Rhinolophus ferrumequinum: one gene and its partner. The protein of the gene in region 2 interacts with the protein of the main gene of each other region in a pairwise test. Links are inferred from orthologs where the notes say so. Each region holds a gene or a part of one and is shown on either strand. Other genes may lie near its edges.

Region 1 (7,380 bases), on a different chromosome or scaffold from region 2:
TTTAAAAAAAAGATAATTAAAAAATTTACACGATGAATGATATTTTGGATCTACATTAGGTTAAAGTAAATTATTAAAGTGAATTGCTTTTTTTTTTACTATTAGAAAATGTAAAATTAACTATGTGGCTTCTATTTTATTTCTATTGGACAGGACTGCTCTGGATTAAAACATAACTTAAAGAGATATAATCTACCAAATATTAAGGTGTGATCTTATTTGGATCCCAATTCAAACCAACCAGCTGTATAAAAATACTTATTAAACAATCAGGTATATTTAAACACTGGGTATTTGTTGATATCAAAGAATTATTATTTCTTTAGGTGTGATGATATTGTGATTATATTTTAAAGGTCCTTAGAAATATAAGCTGAAATATTTATGGATAAAAATCTTATGTCTGGAACGTGCTGTAAAACAAACCAGGCTGGTCATAGCTGAGCCTGGTTCTCCTTCTGCCCTGCCTTTTGTCTCGCACAAGAACCCTGTTTCGGGGCAACCAGGTTGGGGCAGGGGCCCTGGCAGGAGAGGACTGCTCCTGTCAAAAAGACCTGAGTCCTAGTCCCAGCTGTGTCACTGGTCAAGTGTCTTCTTGTCTCCCAGCCTCCATTTTCTCATCTGTAAAATGGGGGATAAAAGCAATACCCCCTTATAGCCTGGTTATGAGCATGTGATTAAGAAAATGTTGTAAAACACCTAACTCTGTGCCGAACCCAGTAAGGGTCAATTAATGTGGTTCTACAAAGAACCTGAGAGCTAGAGCTCACACTTCGGAGGGGAAGTTTCTGGGAAGTTACCTCCGTGAAAGAGGGAAACCCTCCCATTTCTGCCGTCTCTCCAGACACCTCTCCTGATGGGCACCGTGTGCCTCCACACGCTCCTTCAGTTTTGGCCCTTCTATACAAGGACTAACTGTCCTGTTGAATCACTCTTTGCCCTTAAATCGATTTACATTTTTACTTGAATATTTTGTTTAATGGGAGCTTTGTAACAATACTCAAGTGAAAACCAGTCACTTGGCAGTTTAAAAAGGTAATAAAAGCAAATACTACAAAAAGAATGTTACTAAAATAAAAAAAACTAAAAACAAAAAGACCACAACATGGAAATAACAAACCTACTCAATTTACAGAAATGCAGACAGGAACATGAGATCCCCAAGACAAAGAATGGACTCGTTTAACATCAGTTAACAAAACAATCTCGTCTAGAAATTAGCACTGAAAACATCACTTTTCACCGATAGATCCTAGTATGTTTTGTCTAACCAGAGAGCCCAAGGTATTTTCATTACTAGAAAGAAATTCAGAAAGATAGTAAACTTTTAAAAACGTGACTGAAATAGTGAAAATTACATTAAGATCGGTAGTATCGATGGCGTTGTGAATTAAAAGATAATTTCAGCATTCAAAACTCTCCCTGCTCCACCAGGTTTGGGACGCGCAAGGGCCGCCCCTAAGCTCAGGCGCCTCGGATCTCCTTCCTCTACCCTCCGCCGACCCGCGCGGTTCCCGGAAGCTGCCGCTGCCTCACGGTCCCCCTTCAGCGCGCAGCCGCTCGCGGGTTCCTCTCTCGTCACCCCCCCATCCCAGCCTGCAATGGCAGGGAGCCCCCGGCACCCCGCAAACAGATGTGAAAAATACTTAACCACGTTCTTTCGTCCTCGGGCCTCCAGGGTAAAGAAACTGCCGCGAAGGGACCCCGCGGGATCAACGGGACACAGGAAGGCAGTCTCCTAAGTGCCCTGGAAAGGGGGCTCTCCCCGGCTTGTGGCTTTCCAACCGTTTCTATTAAAGACCAGGGTAGGTAGGGTCCACGCGACTGGCGCGGCGTCACCCAGGCCGCCGGCGCCACCTTCAGTGAACCACACAAGACAGGGGAAGCAGAGGGCGCAGTGCAAGAGCCTACAGCGTCGATAACTTTCTTAGGCGCAGTCAAGAACCACCAAATATATTCAATGATACAAATAAGTAAAAGACAAGAAAAAAAGAAACGGCTAACTAATCAACCTCGTTCGGCAGAAGTGTGATCAACAGGCAAAGATAATAAGAACCCGAGTTTCAGCCAAAATGCAGACACAATACCTCTCACGGCAGGAGACAGACGCAGACAAGCGCTCAGAGCACACACGCCGCACCAAAAGGAAGAAAGGCCGCAAAGGCCGAGAGTGGAGGCCGGGCGAGCGGGAACGTGGGAGGGGGAGGAGTCAGTTCCCAACCAGTCCTGCGCAACTCCCCGGCGCTTCCAGCCACGTGGAGGGACTGCTTTCATTTTTAAACGAATTCCCTCTCCGACGGTCACCCGGTGCTCTCCCCTTATTCCTGGCAGAGGCGCTTGGGCTCCGCACGAGGCCCTCTTTCCCTTCCTCGCCGCGGGCCCGTCGTCTTCGGACCCCAAATCTCAGCCCTGAGATTTAGTCCCCGAATGTAAGGCCCTGGACCTCAAGCTCATCTGGGACAAACCCAATTCTCAGCCCTGCCGCCCCTACCTCGAGGGGGCCCAGTCCCCGATCAGTCCCAGGTGTGCGGCTATTGGCCTCGGAGATTCCGCCCGTCCCGCCCCTCACCTCGGGCTCCGAGTCTCCACGCTCCCGCTCTTCTTCACACCCGGCACCTTGGTCGTCGCTGAGCACCTAGAGGAGGGTAGAACGCGGGAGACTTGGCAGTTGTAACTGAAACAGTTGAGGCTTGTTTACCATCACCATGGATACCCCTGGCAGCGCGCCCTGGGCGGGGCCTGGGGGAGGAGGTCAGGCGCGCGGCGGGCTGGTGCCCACAACTCCCGCCCGCCATGCGCACGCGGCGTTTAGGGAAGCGCTGCTGCTCTCGGTGTGCCCGTCCCCGCTCGGCTCTGCGCCCCAGCGCCCGGGAGCAGCAGCCCCGGAAGCCCGCGCCCCAACCTCGCTTCTGGCTGCCCGCGCGACCGAGGGTCGGTTTCCCCACGGAACCCCACCTTTTCCAGGAGGACGAGACGCAGTCCTACTTCCACCACAGAACCGGAAGGACGCAAAGACCGTGGCGGGGCGTGGCCTTCGCGGCAGGCGTCCGGGGGCGGTGCTGCAAGGCCGCCATTGTGACGCGCTCTGTGCAGAGCCGGGGATTGGTCAGCCGGATGGGGGCGGGGCTGGAGCCTACGGAGGGGAGAGTGCATCGAGGGTAGCGGCTGGTCTCCGGCAATCCTGGCTCAGCTGACCAGTGCGTTTACCTATTGCTCTTTAAGTTACTGACTGGGGGAGGCCCCCAAACAGTGAGCCCAAAGATGCATGGGTTAAAGACCAGCATGAGAGAAGTAAATGAGAGTCGTTTCCTGCTGAGGAAGAAAGAGGAAGCTGAACCGCAGAGACGGATAAAGGAGGTTCCAAGGGCAGGCTTCAGGGAGGAATTAGGTTGACTGAGGTTGCTCATGTGACTATCACTTGGGCTAAGAAGTCCCACAGACTCTGAAGGTGACTCAAGACTCAGGGGGAATGCACGGTTTTCAGTTAGTATCTGAAACTACCCGCTGCCTGAAAATGGATGGCTACAGCCTGAGACAGTGGAGCAGATTTTCTTGATGTGTTCTAGAGTCAATAATTATTATCATTTTGTTTTTGGAAAGTCTTCATAAAGAAGAAAAAAATAGGAGCCGGCCTGGTGTCCAAAGTCAGGCTGTTGGAGCTCCGTGCTCCTAACTCCTAAGGCTGCCGGGTTTGATTCCCACATGGGCCAGTGGGCTCTCAACCACAAGGTTGCGGGTTCAACTCCTCCAGTCCTGCAAGGGATGGTGGTCTCTGCCCTCTACAACTAAGACTGAAAGGACAACAACTTGAAGCTGAACGGCACCCTCTACGACTACGATTGAAAGGACAACAACTTGGGAAAAAAAAAAAAAAGTCCTGGAAGTACACACTGTTCGCCAATAAAGTCCTGTTCCCCTTCCCCAATAAAATTTTAAAAAAAGGAAAAGAAAAGAAAAAAGAAGAAAAAAATAATCAAGCACTCATTACAAGTTAAGCAGAATATTATTTTAAAATCACCAGTTAAATTAAGGGAGTGCTTGAAATAGTGTAAGATTATGACTGGAAGATAGTAGAGGAAGGAGCACTGTTTCTCAAAAAATGTTTTTTCCAAGAAAGACAAAAGTGGGAAGAGTAAAAGCGGGAGCTGTCAGAGAGGTGAAAATTAATCAAAGGCAAAATTACAGAAAACGGGTCCTACTAAAATCAGGTAGGTATTTTTAAGAAACCCCACAATGACTCCATCACAGTTCATGCTGTAGAAAAGTCTGTTTCTGGAGAGAAAATGGAAGTAGTCAATCTGAGGCAAATATTAAAATTAAACCAAAAAATAGTACTGCTTCTAAGTTTAGGGACTATGAAACCATGTCCCGGAAGATATATTCATGTAGTCCATTAAGAGAGCCTTTGAGCCTAGTGGCTCTTTGATCCTTTCAAGTCTGAGAGTTCTCTATCATTCATCAATGATGCAATAATCTTTCTAGTCTTCTGAATGAAAGGCGAGGGCCTTGGACTGATTTTGAGCCTGTGTCTAGTCCTAGGAAGTCATCCCAGATGTGCACTATGATATGAGTAGTCACATATAAGCCCACTTCCACAGCAAGTGCAGGAATCGTTCACTGGTGTTACAGATCCCAGGACTTCTTCACAAATGTCTGGCTTATCTCACCAACTGGGGACCACTTCAGCTGTGGGGCCAGGGGTCCTCCACCCTTTCTTTTCATCTCTGTATCTACAGAAGTGTCTCATCTAAGCTCTGAAATCTCAGATTTTTTTTGATTCTTGAGAGTAACTGCACGGAGATGTACCCTTAAGGTACATGGTTTAAAAACAATTGAATTCACCACAAATGAAGATCACCCCAAGCTGTGTCCTTACAGACTTACCTGCCTTTTGTTTATGTAAATAGATTATCACAAATTTAATAACTTTCAATATTTTAAGTTTTAAAATAAGCTCCTCTCTGGAAACCATTAGTCCATAACAGATGATACAGAGGTTTGTATTGTCTAGAGTCTATTAAAATTTTCCAGTTGATAACCCTTGAAAGAACACTTTACGCATTAAGTTTGACCTCCTTCTCCAGGAGAGTACCAGTGGGTAGGCAGGATCACCGTAGCTCAGCAAAGGCTTTTAGACAAAAATCACAGTATCTGCCACACAGCAGTGATAGCAATAGCTAACATGTATTTCACCTTCAATGTGCTTTACACTATTCTGAATACTTAATCTCATTTAAACAGTGGTAGATGTTATTACAATCATCACACTAAGTGGAAGGAAACTGAGGTACAGAGTCATTAAGGTAACTTTCCTAAGATTGCTCAGCTTGTAGGTGACAGTCTGGGCATGAAGCTGAGACGTTCTGGTTCCGGAGTCTGCACTCAACTGCTGCACTATTTTTTTTCTTTTTTTAGTTTGTTTTTATTTTATTGGGAAACAATGTGTTTTTCCAGGATCCATTAGCTCCATGTCGAGTCGTTTTCAATCTAGTTGTGGAGGGCACAACTCACTGGCCCATGTGGGAATTGAACCGGCGACCTGGGTGTCATGAGCATGGCACTCTGACCAGCTGATCCAACTGGCCGCCCAACTGCTTCATTTCTGAGCTCAGGGAGAGGAGGTTTTTCAGGCCCCTCTTCTGCCTCCCTTTCCCATCTGAGAGAAGGAAAGAATGAAGTGAGAAAGCAAATTGAACTGTCCAGACACAGCATAGGTCCTGTCCAAATGTAATGTTTTTCCTTGAGGCCAGGTGCTCTATCTGGTAGGTAGAGATGAGAATAAGATAGCCCAGGTGGGATGCAGTCAAGTTCAGCAGTCACAGCCTTGTCTGGTTAATTTTCTTGATCAATATAGAAAATGAACCTATGAAGCAGTGCTAATACTTATTCAAGGAGTTCTGTGGGGAATATAATCAATAATGTTGTAAATATTTTGTAGGGTGTCAGATGGGCATTTGTCTTATTAGGGAGACCACTTCATGGACAGTGTAGATGCCTGACCACTGCAGTGTACACCTGAAGCTGAGGCTGAATGTCAACTATAATATGTATATAGTCACAGGATGTGGAGTACAGCATAGGGAATAGTCAATGGAATTGTAACAGCTATATACAATGTCAGAGGGGTAGTAGATTGGGGGAGGGGGTTATCACTGTGAGGGGTGTAAGTGTCTAACTATTACATTGTCTTGTACACCTGAAACTAATAAAAAAACAACAACATGTGAGTTCCCACCAGGGGAGGCTGACCTTTGTATTTACAGTTCTTTCAAACAGCACTTTGTGTTAGTGAAAGGAGTTATGGTACCCCCTTGCTTGATGGTTACTTGCTTGAATTGGTTTCTTTGCCTAGCAAAAGACTCCAGGTAGAGACTAAGCAGTGTTGGGTGGTTGCCCTTAACTTTAAGCATTTCTGCAGCAGGCCCGGCCTGCAACAAGCCCTAGCTTGGACATTAGTGAAGTGAGGTCTAGCTCTCTCCATACTGACTTGTCACCTTTTAGCCTGATAATGAGTTTTCCCAGCCCAGAATATGTACAGTTAGATGCCTTCACTTCTGTGGGGCCTCAGCAGAGTCAGAAAACTTCACTTGGATCAAGATGTGCTGTTATATGTCAATTCTAAAGGTGGAAGGGGGTAAGAAAGGTGCTGGGTACAAGGCAGCTTGCAGCTTCTCTTCTGCCTCTCTTGCAGTAACTTCATTAAAAATTATAAATAAAACACAGAAAGTTACAGATATTATACAGATTAAAATATACTGATATTTTGAAATATTGACTATTTCCTTCCATTGTTTTCAGACCAAAAATTACAGATAAACCTGTTCTCCGAGGTGCTTTTCAACTCTTTAAAAAGCAATATACGGTCAGTGGGGAATATTGAAGTTTTGGGATCAGAGAAGTAACAAAATGTGTGGCCCATTTACATAAATTTCTTTAAAGATTTTTTTCCTATCATATAGATTGTGTGGGTAAGTATATGCTATCTTGATCCATTTTTGAGGCCCTGGCTAGAAGCTGTCAGTTCCTCTTGAACAGCTGATTACGTCCACACCACCAAACCCTTCCCTTATCAGGCTCTCACATTCTAGGCCACCATACTCCTACTCTAAATGACCCAGGGTCAGGGATCAGACAACCAAGGATAGCTCCAGAGCCCACTGAAATTATTTAAATTAGCCATTCCTAACTGTGTTTGTCCTGTCTAACCCTTTCCTTCCAGCTGAAGCCACAATAAAAGTGCTTGCCTGCAGCTCGCCCTCGCTCTGCCTTGTGACCAACCTGGTGCTTCCCCTGAGTGGCCTTGGCTGGTATGCTGTGTTCTCCCCGAGAGCTACGAGTACAAGAAACTGTAAAGTTCTCTCATGATCTGCATCTGACCTC
Region 2 (7,025 bases):
ACAGAGCACTTACAATGGACCCAAAACCGTTTGGTATTATTAATACAAAGAAGTACAGTTCCTGTCTCCTAGAAGCTTAGTCTCACTAGGGAAACAAGAATAACAAAACAATTAAGGGACAATATACATGATGCATGAACAAGCATTGGATATAAAGGATACAAGAGGGTCTGACTGGTGTGAATCAACTGGTGTTACTCCCAATTATACCTCAAATTTTAAGCTCCCCAGAAAGCCTTCCTTGACCATTTCAGCAGGAATGACCATCTCCGTCTTCTGGACTGAGTGGCACAAATCCTCTAAACCATGCAATGAATGCCTTTTGGCATGCATCTACCCTGTGGTATCTCTACTCCTATTTCTCTAAACTTACAAAAAAAAATCATATATATATATATATGTGTGTGTGTGTATATAAATATATATACACACACACACATATACACTTTTTACAACTTTTCACCCATTTTGTCTCCCTACCTAGATTGTAAGCACCAAACACTTTAAGGTCAGGGAACTTGACATATATTTTAGAAGGTAACTTAGAAATCATCATGTATGAACACTTTATTTTACAACTAAGGAAATAGAGGCCCAAAAAGAAGGGATTTTCCCAGAACCATACAGCTAGTTGAAGGCAGGGGACTAAATCAATGATGATATGAATACCTGTGTGACATGGTATGTTGGAAGTCCAACAATGAGAATGCATAAAGTGAAAAATAAATAAAGATCCACAAATACACAGAGTGCAAAAAACATTCTCTGTGGGATGGTTCTAAGTCGCCCATCTGTACCCAAAGGACCTAATCCACTCCTTCCTCTGCATACCCCAGAGTCCCTATACACTGTTCCACTTCCAAATATTACTGTCCTTAGCCAATTTGAAGGCAACCAGCAAATAATGGGCCCCAGGAGGAAAGGTGGGGGAAAGGGAAGAGTCTCGCTGTTAACTATGATTGACAAAACAATAAATGAATACCGACAGACACAGATACATGCTCACACCACGCAGAAAACGCTCAGCAGCACTCATCCAGTCTTCCCTCCTTCCCATCCAGTACTAACCCACCTCACCTGAAGTCTCCCCATATTCCTTTATATATATTTTTCCCATGGCCCTGAGCTTTCACTTCTCACAATCCCTCTGCCTGACAGAGTTCTAAAGGAGAACAAAAGCAAGCAAACAAAACAAAAGAATTCAAAAATAAACACCACAGAGGATCACTGTACCCAAGTCAACAGAAGTAAGAGTGGCCTCTGCAAAGGAGACCAAGAAGCACACAGTAAACACGCCAGGCTTAACTACAGCTCCGTCTCTAACACAGGAAGTCAGGCAGAGCCTTGAAAAGCAGGAGCAGAGCACAGGAAGTCTCTTAGCACTGCAGAGATTTCCAAGAGTGGTGTAATGGAGAGAGCACAGGAATAGGAATTAGAAGAGTAGGCTTCCAGCTCTAGTTTTACTACCGAGCTCACTGGGTGGCCTTGGGCAAGTCACTAGTCTTCTCGTGACTTTTGAGTCCCCATCTATAAAATGAGATGGTTAAAACATTTGGGAACTTGAATCCAATCCAGAAAAAGAAAAAAAGAAATTATTGACTTCCCCCCCTAAAAAGTGCAGGTAAACTATTTTGCACAAGTCTTCCAAGTCTACCCAGGTTTAGAACCCCTGGAAAAGATGACGTCGCTGGTCCCTTCTAACATTCTATGATTCTAAGAGAATTAGGCAGATGTCTAAACAACTGCTGGTACATTAGCACCCACCCCCAGCCACCACCACCACCACCACCACCACCATTTCATAGCAAGTATTTTCTGAACAAAGACCAAATCCTAAAACTAAAGCTTATCAAGATTTCACATTCTTCCTCAAATTACAAAGTCAACTGACATCATTGCTCCATTTCCCATTCCTTACCCACATCAATCAGCTCATCCTTGACTCCACAACTCAGAATCCAGGCTTCTAACAGCCCTATACCTGTTCTTTCATACCCCAAAACATTACAGAGCTAGTCGGTGCCCTAGCTATGGAAGAGGCCACTGGCAAAGTCCAGGAGGGACATGCCCTGCGTCTCTCTTCAGACTCATTAGCATGTTTCACAAAGTTAATGCGACGGAGCACCACGGTGTCCCCACAAGACTACCACACGCCGCGTACTTCTCACATTCCTGGTGGAACTGATTTAACCCACAATCGAAGCCACATCCCCTCTGGGCTCTCGAGGAGTTTTCTGGCCTTTGATTCCTCTCTTTTATTATGTGCCACTCCCCTTCCCCATCCCAGTGTGTGTCCCCGGCTGCCAAAAGGTACTCCTCCTCGGGAGGTGTCCCACCACTGTCCCCTCGTCCTCGACTCAGTCCAGCGGCTCTCTGGGCTGCAGACCCAGGATCTCCCGGCTTTCACTCCACCCCAAGGAACTAAGGAAGGGTTGGAAGAAATGGAATCCATCTCAACCATGTTCGATTTCCCCCCGAAACCCATCCACGCGTCGTGTCCCCTTGTGCCCTCAATAATCAGGACCCTCGTGGGCACGCCAGGGTCCCCCGGCACACTTCGCCTCCAAGCCGGGGCTCGCCCCACCTTCCAAACAGGCCACGACCGGCCCCCTCCCACTTCCAAGCCAAGACCCCGAGGCCCTCCCCTTTCCAAGCCCCGGGAGCCCCGGGCCGCCCCCCGGGACCCGCGCCGCACCCCCGCCGTAACCGGGCGCCCGTCCCGCGCGGTCACCTGCATCCCGCCGCCGCCGCCGCCGTCGGCCGCCGCCTCCTCGGTGCGCGGCCGCTTGCTCAGGCCGGGCTCGGCTCCGTCTCCTCCCCCACCGGGCACCGGCAGCTCCAGCTCCGACTCCCGCTTCATCCCCCGGGCAGCGGCGCCGGGCCCGAGCTGCGATGGCTGTTGCGGCTGGGTGCCTTCCGCCATCCGCCCGCGCCCCCCTCGCCTCCGGGAGCCGGGCGACCCGCGACAGGCCACCTCCCCCTGGGCCTCGGCCCCGACAGTCGCGACAGGCGGGCGCGCGCCTGCCCCCGCCCCCGCGTGCGTGCGTGCGTGCGCGCGCGCGAGCGCGCGGGCCCGGCGCTCCTCTGCGACTGGCGATCGGCGTCCTCGCTCGCGCGGTCCTCGGCTGTGGGAGGCTGGCGGGTCGCGACGGGCACTGGCTCGCGCCCCCACGCGCACACGCGACCCACGGCCTGGCCCGCCGCGCGCCCCGCCTCACACTCACGGAGCTCGCCCGCCGGCCCGCGCCCGCTCCCTCACACTGTCCCTCACAACACGCCGGGCCGAGGGAGGAAAGGGGCGGTCCGGGCTCCCGAGCCTTGGGGAGGGGTGTTTATTTGGGGGGAGGAGGGGCTCGAGGCCGGAACGAGCTGACTGGCCGGGATCCTCCGACCCGCCACTGTGGCAGCACCGGGAAGGCGGGGAGAGAGAAAGGAGGAGGGAGGGACCGGGATCTGGGACTCCAGCCCGCGCGGGAGGCTGTGGCGGGGGTGGGGCGGGGAGGGCGTGGCGGGGGTGGGGGCCGAGCCTGCGGAGGGGGCGTGGCCAGCTCCCCTCGGCAATCTCCGCCGCCTCCTCTCCTGGCGCCCGAGGGAGGCCGGGGAGAGAGCAGGACAGTTCGGGAGTCTCCGCCAGCGGCGAGGGATTGTCCTGGAGGCACCGTGCGGCTGGATTTCCAGCTAGCGCGGAGGGGGCGGAGTCTGTTTCCTCTAGGGGCGGGGCCATAGCCTAGGACAGGCGGAGCTTGAGAGGCCCGAGGGCCCCGTGAGTTCCCGACTAGGGAACCGGCACTCTGTGGGAGGGGGCGTTTAGCCTGCTCCCTCTCCCGCGGAAGAATGAGGATCTCGATTTGGAAGGTCCAGGAATGAAATCACCACTACATGGCTCTCCCCAATTCTAAAAGCTTTGACTCTAATAATAATAATTATCCCATTCCTGATCATCTTAATAATAACACCTGATGTTTGTAAGAGCTTGCACAATGCAGTTTGCACAATGCGTTCACAGACCCGTTTTGAAGCGATGGTATGAGCAGAGTAGATACCAGGAACTCCTTTACGTTGATGATGAACGTGAAGCTTCGTTAAGTCCTGGAGCTAAACAGTGGCAGATCCAGCTCTCAGGACATCAGATCATCTTTTCTCTACGCCTTGCTGCCTGTGTAACACTTTGTTAATTTCAACTTTCTGCAATTAGAGATGCTGTGCAACAGCTTCTTTCTCCTACCAGTCTGTAAGGACCAAAAGGGCATCTATTTTCTCTGGGTTCCATATTGTGCCCTGTACGTTACAGGGATATAGTTATGTTGCATGCATGACTTGGATTCTACAAACGAGCTTCATCTCTTTGGACCCCTGACCATCATTTGTAAAATGGGGAGATAGTTTAGATCAGCGGTTGGCAACCAGGGGCAATTCTGTCCTTTCCCCTCTCCTCCAGGGCATTTGTCAACTGTCTGGAGACATTGTGGGTCATTACAACTGAGGGGTGCCACTGGCATCTAGTGGATAGAGACCAGGGATATTGTTCACCATGCTTTGATGAACAGGACAGTCCTCACAACAGTTATCCACCCCAACATGTCAACAGTACTGAGATTGAGAAACCCTGAGTTACATGATTTCTAAGGTCATTTCCAGATGGGTCTAGGAGTTGTCCTTTGACTTGGGTTTAACCCGCTGAAACAGTACAATGGTAAAGATCCTTGCTTTGGAATCAGACCAACCAAGGTTTGAGTCCAAGCTTTCCCATCTACCACCCATGTGATGTTGGACCAGTGATCATTTAAGAAGTTCTATATAGAAGGGGAACAGGGCCTGCAGACTGTTTGGAAGGGAAGACTGAAGGACTTGTCCTGAAGCTGAGTTTTCCTAGCTCATTGTTTTTTACCTAGTCTGTGTCCTAGATCAATAAAAATAGCCAAGTTTTGGCTCTGCCCCTGAACCAGTCATGATGCCGTGTGAAAGCTACCTAGCCTGTCTATGCTTTAGTTTCTTCATCTGAAAATCAGGATAATAATACTACCTTCCTGAAAGGGTTCTTGTGAGGATTCAATGAATTATCACACATTAAGAACTTCGAACAGATTGGCCAATGATAAACACTTAATAAATGTTAGCTATTATTATTGTTATTACCATTATTTTATTCACATCTTAAATGTGAGCAAGAAAAATATTCTTATCAAGATCAAAGGATATCATTATCACTACTACTGGTTTTTTTTTCCAATTACATAAAGTGGGGGGTGGGGGCCTGCTAGAGATTAAGATGGGCTGACAAATCACCCCAAGTCACCCCTTAGTGCAACAGCTATATTAGGCAAGTCATTTATTTTCACTAAACCTTACATTCCTTGTTTGTAAGATGACAATACTAGTTACAGTGTTGTTCTAAGGATTAAATGAGACAAAATAAAGAACAACAATGTAAATAAATTAGGTGATAAATATTGACCAGAGCACGGCGTCGAACTGCTTAATAAGTGGTCAATATTTATCACCTAATTTGTTCAGTGATGCTAAGCCGCTGGTCAGGGGTTCATGCGGCTGGAAAGAGAAGCCCAGGCAGCTTCTACTACTGCCATTCGGGCCATCAAGTTGGAAGTCCAAGTGCCTGAAAGGTTGTACTTGAGCTAAATTAGTCCCAACCTACGGCAGGGATCTCCAGTTGGCAGTGCCCCCTGGGCAGATAGGCCTTAATCCTGTGCAACCAAGCATGCGCATTATAGCTCTAAAGAAAAATCAGGATGTTTCTTGGTGGTCTATGGAACAACAATGGCTTCTTTTGTCTAACCTAGGGACGTCAGTGGTTGGTTTTCTGAAATTTTTACTTATTAAGCTGGTGTCTTGAAAATTCTTCTCCCCTCCCTACCTGCCTTGCCAAAATACTAGAATTTAAATGACTCTAGGTCCTTCCTGGGCTGCTCCACGACCCAGCAAGAAATGAGATTTGGTATCAGGGCTGCTTGTGACTCAAATTATTGTAAGTCAAGTAGCACACATTTCCCTGAGAAATAGAGCGATGTGGTACAGGAATGTTTGAATGACCAGGCAGAACAAAGAGAAATTGAACCTTGTCCTGTAAACAAGCATTAAGCTTTTAGAGAGAGCTTGCGAATAGAAGCCTATAAATAGTAGAAGAGGCCAAATGAGCCTATAGTGACACAAAGACCAGGATCGTTTCTTTCATGTACATCTGCAGCCACCTCTGTGGGAGCAGGTGGTTATAAAATATTACAGAGGAAGAAAACAATTAAAGAATATTTTCCTAGAAAGAATTTTTAGCTGCAGAAATTATTGAAGTCCTAATGTTTATTTATTTATCCACTTGACAAACTATGGGCAAAAGTCTGGGATATCAAAAAGAATAAAATTGATTCCTGGTACTGAGGAGCTCAGTCTGGGAAAGAAAGGATGAACAAATAAAAAGACAAATACACACCAGAAACTAATATAAAATATTGAATGTCAACTGTAATTGAAAAATTAAATACACAGAGAGTGCCAAAAAAATGTATACACATTTTAAGAAAGGAAAACTGTATTAAAATTATTCTACTCAATATATACCAATAACAAAAGATGAATACAAATTACGTTTGATTTCTGCAACTACAAGGGTGCTCAAAGTGGTTCCCATCGGCATCCAGACACTTCTGCATTACGGCAAACTACTGCCTGAGCAATGTCGACCAAAGTGTCCACTTGTATACACTTTTTTTGGGCACCCCAAGGTTGTGTATGTGTGTGTTTTAAGAATTACAATGCACCATGAGAAGGAGGCATCTCTCATAGCGGTTAAGAACATGGACTCTGGTATCACACATGGGTTTGAGTATGACTTGGCCATATATTTGACCTTGTACAAGATCCTTACCACCTCTTAGACCCAGTTTCTTCATTTGTGTGGCAAGCACTGGTAGTTCCCAACCCTTATATCCTCTTATTCCTAATCAGCAGAACCCCCATTTTATTCAGGGAAGAAATCTTTCCAGCTTTAAAAAGAGAAAAAATATACATAAAAA

What was found. The genes of interacting proteins can lie anywhere in the genome.
Region 1: the proteins of RBFOX2 (region 2) and HNRNPF interact in binary tests that used the Homo sapiens proteins (3 or more experiments, as listed by UniProt). The link is inferred for Rhinolophus ferrumequinum from reciprocal best matches to the Homo sapiens genes RBFOX2 and HNRNPF.

The regions. Positions count from the first base shown.
Region 1 is NC_046299.1:66,653,522-66,660,901, reverse strand, and holds the start of HNRNPF (heterogeneous nuclear ribonucleoprotein F), read right to left. Parts: upstream 3,014-7,380; 5' UTR 2,956-3,013; intron 2,636-2,955; 5' UTR 2,570-2,635; intron 2,227-2,569; exon of another isoform or gene 2,088-2,226; intron 1-2,087.
Region 2 is NC_046293.1:10,469,392-10,476,416, reverse strand, and holds the start of RBFOX2 (RNA binding protein fox-1 homolog 2), read right to left. Parts: upstream 3,016-7,025; 5' UTR 2,924-3,015; coding exon 2,732-2,923; intron 1-2,731. UniProt on the Homo sapiens protein: RNA-binding protein that regulates alternative splicing events by binding to 5'-UGCAUGU-3' elements. Prevents binding of U2AF2 to the 3'-splice site.